2 linked regions of the Cricetulus griseus genome follow. The protein of the gene in region 1 purifies or fractionates together with the protein of each later gene. This does not show direct contact. Links are inferred from orthologs where the notes say so. Each region holds a gene or a part of one and is shown on either strand. Other genes may lie near its edges. The genes, in order: Ppp1r11 and Vcp.

Region 1 (4,305 bases):
ATGTCCAGGGCTACACAGATAAACCCCATCTGGGGGGGGGAAAGGAGTGGACTGGTAGGTTACAGCCTGTACAAGCTAGGGGCTTACACGTTAACAGGCTTTTTTTTTTTTTTTTTTTTTTTTTGGTCTCTCAAGCATAGTAACTCTAATTGTAATGTTAACCATTACAAAGGCAAAAAAAAAAAAGCTGTTAGACATATGCATATATTCTATCTAAATCTAGTTCCTCATTGTAAGGAAACAAAATATTTGGATAGGTAGTGTTGCACGAAAAAAATAAAAGACCGAGAGACAAATATTGGGGTTCAAGCTGAAGATCAGGGAAGCAAAGCAGCCAGCCACTAGCTCTCACCTCAAGCTCAAGCTGAAAGGGCAGATCCACACACGAGCTCTTCACCAAGCCTCAAACTGCTGCCTCTCCTCAGTGTGGCTGGAGAATGAATGCCTCCTACTGAATCCTGAAGACCCTGATTCTATCTTCTATACCCCTCTAGTGCTGGGATTAAAGGTGTGTTATCTGTCACTCTTTTAGACCGATTCAATGTCATGTATCCCTGGGTGGCCTTGAACTCAGAGAGATCCATCTACCACTTAATCCTGAGTTTCAGGACTAAAGGTGTGTACCACCACCTCCTAGCTTCTGACTGCTGGGATTAAAGGTGTGTGCCTGGCTTCTATGGCTTGTGGCTGACTTTGATTCTGAATCCTCAGGCAGGCTTTAATAAATCATAAATAATATATCACTGCAAGTGATTCAACAAAATTTAAGCAGATGTCTTTGAATTTGTTGCGGCGCCCCCCACAGCCTAGCCTTGGTATTCTTCAAACTGGGAACTAGAATAACAGGGAATACTTTTATTTTAGGACCTACCACGCTGGGAAAATTCCAAATTTAGTGTGCTCTCCCTCCCAGACTTACAGAGAGAGGACTAGAACCCAGTGCGTTTCCTGCTCCTGGAAAACGGTTTCTCGACAGAATGATAAGAAAATGGAACTTGGCCGAGTCCCACTTACTTTCCCGCCCAGGTTTATGGGTACAGCTGACAGGGTTAGGGGTGCTGAGCACACAGATCGCACATCCTCTGCGCTCCGCAGCTCCGGAGTTGACTCTTCCCCCAATGAACTTAGGCCCTGAAGGAGCTGGCCCCGCCCCACAGTGACGTCACTTCTGCTACCTGCGGCGTCTGCGCAGTGTTAGAATACGGCGGAACTGATCTGGCGACGCCTGCGCTTTTGCCCGAGCCGTGCCGGTGAAGGGAAACTGGGTTCTGCAGGATGCGTCACACCCGGAAGTGAAAGGCCGGAAGTGGGATTGGACAGGTTATGCCCAGGGGTGGGGAAGCAGAGGCCCTGGAGGAAGGGAAGAATAAGAATCCAGAGGTTCCTGGCCGCTACTCTGAATCGAGTACCGGATCTCTTAGATCCCAGAAGCGCAGAAAAAGGGAAGGGTGTCCCATCCCGCTTCCTGGCTTTTCGCTTTAGCCATGGCGGAGGCAGGGGCCGGGCTGAGTGAGACCGTCACTGAGACAACGGTTACCGTGACAACCGAGCCCGTGAGAAAGGCGGGCGGGGGGGCCTATTTAGGGGTCTGGGAGGAACTGGGAGGGAAGTAGGGCTTTGGAAAGTTGGAGGGTTTGGGATCTGGGACATGTGGGGATGACTCTTGGGAAGATCGCCAGGGACTGGGGATGCTTGGAGTGGCTCAGATCGTGATAGTGACCAGTCAAGGGACGTTACAGTCAGGGTATAGGTGTCACGGCTTGATGCGGTGGTCTGTGTACGTAATAAACGGAACCTGGGTTAAGGCAGCAAGGAAGGTCCTGGGAGGGAAGGAAAGGCTATTTGAGAAAGCATGGTTTTGGAGGCAAACGTAAAGGACGAGTACTTAACCAATAGATAGTCATGGAATGGGTGCGTGTTAAAGTGGGGGGCAGGGAATAAGGAAACAAAATAAGGTGAAGGTAGTATTTTGACAGATCAGAGAGGAGAGACGCAAATAAGGAAACAAGTAGAATTTTGCAAAAGCAAGTTAAATTGCTTTCAAGGGGAGGAAGATGGGTTGGGCGTAATGTCTGGGTTGAAGGAGTTTAGTAATTATTGCCAGAGATGCCAGGATGTTAGAGAATGAAGGCTTTCTTTGGAGAAGAAGGGTTTTGGATTTTTGTTTTATTTTGCTTGTTCAGGTGTGGCAGGGGCAGAAGTCAACCTTAGATTTTTCTCAGGCACGGTGTACCTGTTTGTGTGTGTGTGTGTGTGTGTTTTGTTTTGTTTTGTTTTGCTTTGCTTGTTGATTTGAGAAAATCATTTTTCCTGGAGCTGCCAAGTCAGCTAGACTGGCTGTCAAGAGATCTGCCTGTCTTCACATCTCCAGTACTGGTATTACAAACATGCACCACCACTACACCTAACTTTTTTTTTTTAAATATGGATTTTGGGAATCAAACTCAGGAAGCACTTTACCAACAGAACTGTCTCGGAAGCCCTGCTTTATTATTATTTTTTAAATTTTTATTTTGTTTTTGAAAGGAAAAGCTTTACCACATTGCAGAGGCTGGCTTCTGTTGGCTTCTGTCTCCGTCTCCTATATGCTTAGCTCACATGCTTCTAATCTCTTTAGCGGGAACGTAAGTAAGAGGTGTGGAGAAAGGAAGGAAGGCCAAAGACCAGTCACAGGGAACTGAGAAAATAACTCTCCGGTATTGGCACCACCAAGGATGATTTGGAAGGAAGATGAAGAAACAGGGAGGGTTGTGCTTTCCTTTGGAGATTTACCGGCACCTTCCCTAGGTTAAGGACTGTCCTTTTTGCATACTAGTAGTTTTCAAGAATAGGAGTTCACATTCCTCATGAAAAGGTTAAAAACATGGTCTGTTTTGGCTCCCAGCACCCGGCTCCTCCAGTGGCCTGGTGTATGGTACTGATTGAGCAAGGGAGGAGAAAAGAGGAGGTACCTTGGGAAACAGGAAAGGTCAAGAGGAGATTAGCTAGATGGGCCCATACCTCTTAACCTTACAGGAGAATCGGAGCCTAACCATTAAACTTCGGAAACGGAAGCCAGAGAAAAAGGTGGAATGGACAAGTGACACTGTGGACAATGAACACATGGGGCGCCGCTCATCAAAATGTGAGTGCTGTTGCCCCAGCAGCCCTCACCACTGCCTCCCAGACCTTTACGGTTCTCTTTACTTTCTTGGGAAAGAAAATAGATGGGGATAGAGCTAAAACTAAGAGTTGCCAAGTCTGTGGAGCAAGCCATGTCGGAGTGGGAGAAAGATGCTTCTGGGTCTCTGAAGAGACAAAGAGTGTGGATGCCAGAGTCCCTGGGGTGGGAGGCTTAAGGGGCATGGATTCTGGAAGGTGGGAGAAAAATTGCACATAAATCTGTTGGAAATGAAACAGACTGGACATTGTGTTCCTCATCCTTCTTAACTGATTTCCTCTCCCTACATCTAGGCTGCTGTATTTATGAGAAACCTCGGGCCTTTGGTGAGAGCTCCACCGAGAGTGAGGAGGATGAAGAAGAAGGTTGTGGTCACACACACTGTGTGCGGGGTCACCGCAAAGGACGGCGTCATTCAACCCCAGGACCCACTCCAACCACTCCCCCCCAGCCTCCTGACCCATCTCAGCCCCCTCCAGGACCTATGCAGCACTAAATCCCTCTCACCATGTGTCTGCCTGGCCCCAAATGTATCCATCTGGCTACATGGGGATTCAACCCATGGTCTGATCCCTTCTCCTGCCCCCTCCTTCCCTCTCCTGCCTGATAGAGAAGAGGAAGAGGAGGGTGGATAGAGATCCTGGAATTCTGACTTGCTGCTGTTCCAGAACCCAGGCTTCTGGGTTCTCCCAGCCTCTCCTTCCCTACAGTTTGCTCTGTGCCTGGGATTCAGGCATCTTGGTCTCAGTCTGTCCCTTTTGTTCTCACTGCCAAAACACCTGTCCTGGGATCCAGTTATCTTGGCCACCTGCACCCTTAGCTTGAGTCCCAAGCATTTAAATTGGGTTTTCAACCATCCCAGCTTTCACTGCCAGGACCCCAGTCAGATTCCAAGCAATATTGCACCCCAGCTCTGCATATTAATCCTGGCTTACAGTTCTTCCACTTACGAAGTTATCCTAAATCTTAGTCCTTGCCTGTGGGAATCTAAGGTTTTGGGGACACCATAGGGTTCTGCTCTTACCCCTTCTGACCCTCAAAAGGGTCAGAACCTATAATGGAAAGTGGACCCCAAAAATAGTCATGACCTGAATATAGCATTTCTGAGCTGGCTGAGACCAATGACTTAGAGCCTACAAGTTTCT
Region 2 (3,811 bases), on another chromosome or scaffold:
TCTTTCCAATGTGTTCTTTTGTTTGTTTGGTTTTTCAAGACAGGGTTTCTCTGTGGCTTTGGAGGCTGTCCTGGAACTCTGTAGACCAGGCTGGTCTCAAACTCACAGAGATCCGCCTGCCTCTGCCTCCCAAGAGCTGGGATTAAAGGTGTGTGCCACCAAAGCCTGGCCACCAACTCATTCTTATACTCCACGGTATATTACAGTTCTGCTGGCTTGATTTCTTTATCTCACCTGTCTTTCATCTACATTGTTTTTTTTCTATTCTGTATTCCCTCTAGAGCAGTGGTTCTCAACCTTTCTAATGCTGCCACCCTTTAATACAGTTCCTCATGTTGTGGTGAGCTCCCTGATCATAAAATTACGTTGTTGCTACTTTCATAACTAATTTTGCCACTGTTACGAATCATAATGTAAATATCTGATATGGGAAGGGCCCTTTGACCCCAAAGGGGTTGTGACCCACAGGTTGAGAACCATTGCTCTAGAGTAACTACCCGTCTTGGTTTCCCTAAACCTGAAGAATTTCCAGGTTGTGAGGCATTAATGTTAACTCTAAATAAGAGAGTTTTGGAGTGACTTCACTGTGGACCAGAAATTGTTCCTATTTTACATTCCTGCATTTTCCCACAGGTCGCTTTGACAGAGAGGTAGATATTGGAATCCCTGATGCTACAGGACGCTTGGAAATTCTTCAGATCCATACCAAGAACATGAAACTGGCAGATGATGTGGACTTGGAACAGGTGGAGTGGTGATGATGGCTGGCCAAAACCTTGGGTAGCTCTGTTTTTAGGAAGTTGCAAGGGACTACTAACATAGTCTAAGATAAGAGTTCATATCAGTAATCCCAGAATTTGGGGAGGGTGAGGCAGAGGCAGGAGGATCTTGAGTTTGAGGTCAGTGTGGGCTACCCAGCAAGAGTCTATCTTTTCATTTTTTTTTTTTTTTAGAGCTGCATGGAGCTTATTTTGATTTCAGGGTAGAAAATGTGTTTCTTAATTGTTGCTCTGTTAAGAGTAATTCATACATTGTTGAACAGCTTTATTTCTAGCTCCCAAATCCAGGCTTAAGTATTTAATACTTGCCACTAAAAGGTCTGCTGTAGTATATATCTCTTTAAGGAAATAAAAGGAATCAGAGATAGGAATCGGGGTGGACTCAGGATTCTGTTTCTGACTTCTTAAGGAAGTGGTTTCTTGAGGATAGTCAGTAGATCTTTTCTCTGCAGGTAGCCAATGAGACTCATGGCCATGTAGGTGCTGATTTGGCAGCCCTGTGTTCAGAGGCTGCTCTGCAGGCCATCCGGAAAAAAATGGACCTTATTGATCTTGAGGATGAGACCATTGATGCAGAGGTCATGAATTCCTTGGCAGTTACTATGGATGATTTCCGGGTAAGGACTATATCCACAAATAGTTATTTTGTTGTATGCACCCCCCACCCTCCATCTCATTCCCCTTTTTCAAACACCCTTTTTAGTGGGCCTTGAGTCAAAGCAACCCATCAGCACTTCGGGAAACTGTGGTAGAGGTGCCACAAGTAACCTGGGAAGACATTGGAGGCTTGGAAGATGTCAAACGGGAGCTTCAGGAACTGGTTCAGGTAGGCCAATTTGCTCTAGGGTGGTGGGTCATTGCCTCAATGTATAGTAATTGGCCGTTTAGGTCTCAGACTCAAATCTACTTAGAATTGTGACTATAATTCAGAAGCCTGCTCTTACTGAGTTTTAGGTAGTAAGGAGCCTATTTAAAAACTAGCACCATAGACCATAGGATGTGCCACAAAGTAGATGATATGCTTCTGATTTTTTTAAAAGATTTTATTTATTTATTATGTTTGCCTGCATGCCAGCAGAGGGCACCAGATATCATTCAAGGTGGTTGTGAGCCACCAGATAGTTGCTGAGAATTGAACTCAGGACCTCTGGAAGAACAGTCAATGCTCTTAACTGCTGAGCCACCTCTCCAGCCCTATGCTTCTGATTAATAACGATTTTATTTAAAATATTGAGAGGTTGCCCTTAAATCATCTTTGCTTTCTTCTAGTATCCTGTGGAGCATCCAGACAAATTCCTCAAATTTGGAATGACCCCTTCCAAAGGTGTTCTCTTCTATGGACCTCCTGGTTGTGGGAAGACCTTGCTGGCCAAAGCCATTGCTAATGAATGCCAGGCTAACTTCATCTCTATCAAGGGTCCTGAGCTGCTCACCATGTGGTTTGGGGAATCTGAGGCCAATGTCAGGGAAATTTTTGACAAGGTGAGTTTTCAGAGGCTGGCTGTTCATATGTTTGGGGGCAAGGTAAGATAGGAGGCTATTTCTTCATAGTCAAAACTATTTTATTACTGGCAGCTCAGTGATTGCTTTCTTCTGAAGTTTGAGAGATTAATTAATATTTGAGTTGATCTCTTTCTTTCTCCCAGGCACGGCAAGCTGCCCCCTGTGTACTATTCTTTGATGAGTTAGATTCAATTGCCAAGGCTCGTGGTGGTAATATTGGAGATGGTGGTGGAGCTGCTGACCGAGTCATCAATCAGATCCTGACAGAAATGGATGGCATGTCCACAAAAAAGAATGTGTTTATCATTGGAGCTACCAACCGGCCTGACATCATTGATCCTGCTATCCTAAGACCTGGCCGTCTTGATCAGCTCATCTATATCCCACTTCCTGATGAGAAGTCCCGTGTTGCCATCCTGAAGGCTAACCTGCGCAAGTCTCCAGTTGCCAAGGCATGTGCAAAGTTGTCAGCCATGAAGCCTTTTTTTCTATCCTGGATAGGATGCCATTGGGGATTTGTAGGTTTTCTAAAGGCAATATGAGAGATTTGTGAATATTAGGATAATTTAAGAGATACAGAATAAAATGGGGTGGCAGAGCCAAGAGTAGCTCAAAGATCTATGTGTCCCATGGGAGGCAGTTAACGATGCTAAACTAAGTAGCTTTTTTGCTTCCTTTAGGATGTGGATTTGGAGTTCCTGGCTAAGATGACAAATGGCTTTTCTGGAGCTGATCTGACAGAGATTTGCCAACGTGCTTGTAAACTGGCCATTCGTGAATCTATTGAGAGTGAGATTAGGCGAGAACGAGAGAGGCAGACAAATCCATCAGCTATGGTGAGTCAGTATCTTTGTTCAAATGTGCCATTCTAGGGACCATCCTCCATGACCCAGAGTTGAGAGTAGAAGGTATTAGGAGGGTCCCTTTACTGAGATGTTAAGCAGGGAATCCTAGAAAATGAATAAACAGCTAAGCTGGGTGTGGTGCAGGCATATTCCAGCTCTCGGTGAATGCAGCAAGATGAGAAATAAAGGGCCCTACATGAGACTTTTAGAGATAAAGGGTTGGGTTGGGTAAGCTTGATGCCTTGAGGGAAATGAAAGTATGATTGTGCAACAGAACAGAACAGGGTTTTTTATTTATTTAATTTTATTTTTATATGCACTGGTGTTTTGCCTGCATGTATATGTGTGTGAGGGTGTCTGATTCCCTGGAACTGGAGGTATGGACAGTTGTGATCTGTCATATGGGTGCTGGAATTGAGCCTGGGTCCTCTGGAAGAGCAGCCAGTTCTCTTAACTGCTGAGGCATCTCTCGAACCCTCTGGAAAAGGATTTTTAAACTGAAGTCTGGACTTCAGCATCCTGGTGGGGAAGGGAATTCTTGTACTCTCAAAATAGAAAAATTAAGTATAAGAATGTAAAAACTATGAAATTTACAATTCTGTCTCTACTGTAGTTCCACTGTTTGGAGGTTTGTGAATGAATAAGAAATGAGCAAGTTGCTTTCTTTACCCTTTGGAGAGGTCC

Evidence for each region.
Region 2: the proteins of Ppp1r11 (region 1) and Vcp purify together in Homo sapiens (affinity purification with western blotting; 3 studies listed by BioGRID, with this or other methods). This does not show direct contact. The link is inferred for Cricetulus griseus from reciprocal best matches to the Homo sapiens genes PPP1R11 and VCP.

The regions. Positions count from the first base shown.
Region 1 is NW_023276806.1:228,772,654-228,776,958, forward strand, and holds the start of Ppp1r11 (E3 ubiquitin-protein ligase PPP1R11), read left to right. Parts: upstream 1-1,326; 5' UTR 1,327-1,484; coding exon 1,485-1,553; intron 1,554-3,015; coding exon 3,016-3,124; intron 3,125-3,453; coding exon 3,454-3,656; 3' UTR 3,657-4,305. UniProt on the Homo sapiens protein: Atypical E3 ubiquitin-protein ligase which ubiquitinates TLR2 at 'Lys-754' leading to its degradation by the proteasome.
Region 2 is NC_048595.1:100,551,342-100,555,152, forward strand, and holds part of Vcp (transitional endoplasmic reticulum ATPase), read left to right. Parts: intron 1-633; coding exon 634-746; intron 747-1,231; coding exon 1,232-1,396; intron 1,397-1,482; coding exon 1,483-1,605; intron 1,606-2,048; coding exon 2,049-2,261; intron 2,262-2,425; coding exon 2,426-2,734; intron 2,735-2,962; coding exon 2,963-3,118; intron 3,119-3,811. UniProt on the Homo sapiens protein: Necessary for the fragmentation of Golgi stacks during mitosis and for their reassembly after mitosis. Involved in the formation of the transitional endoplasmic reticulum (tER).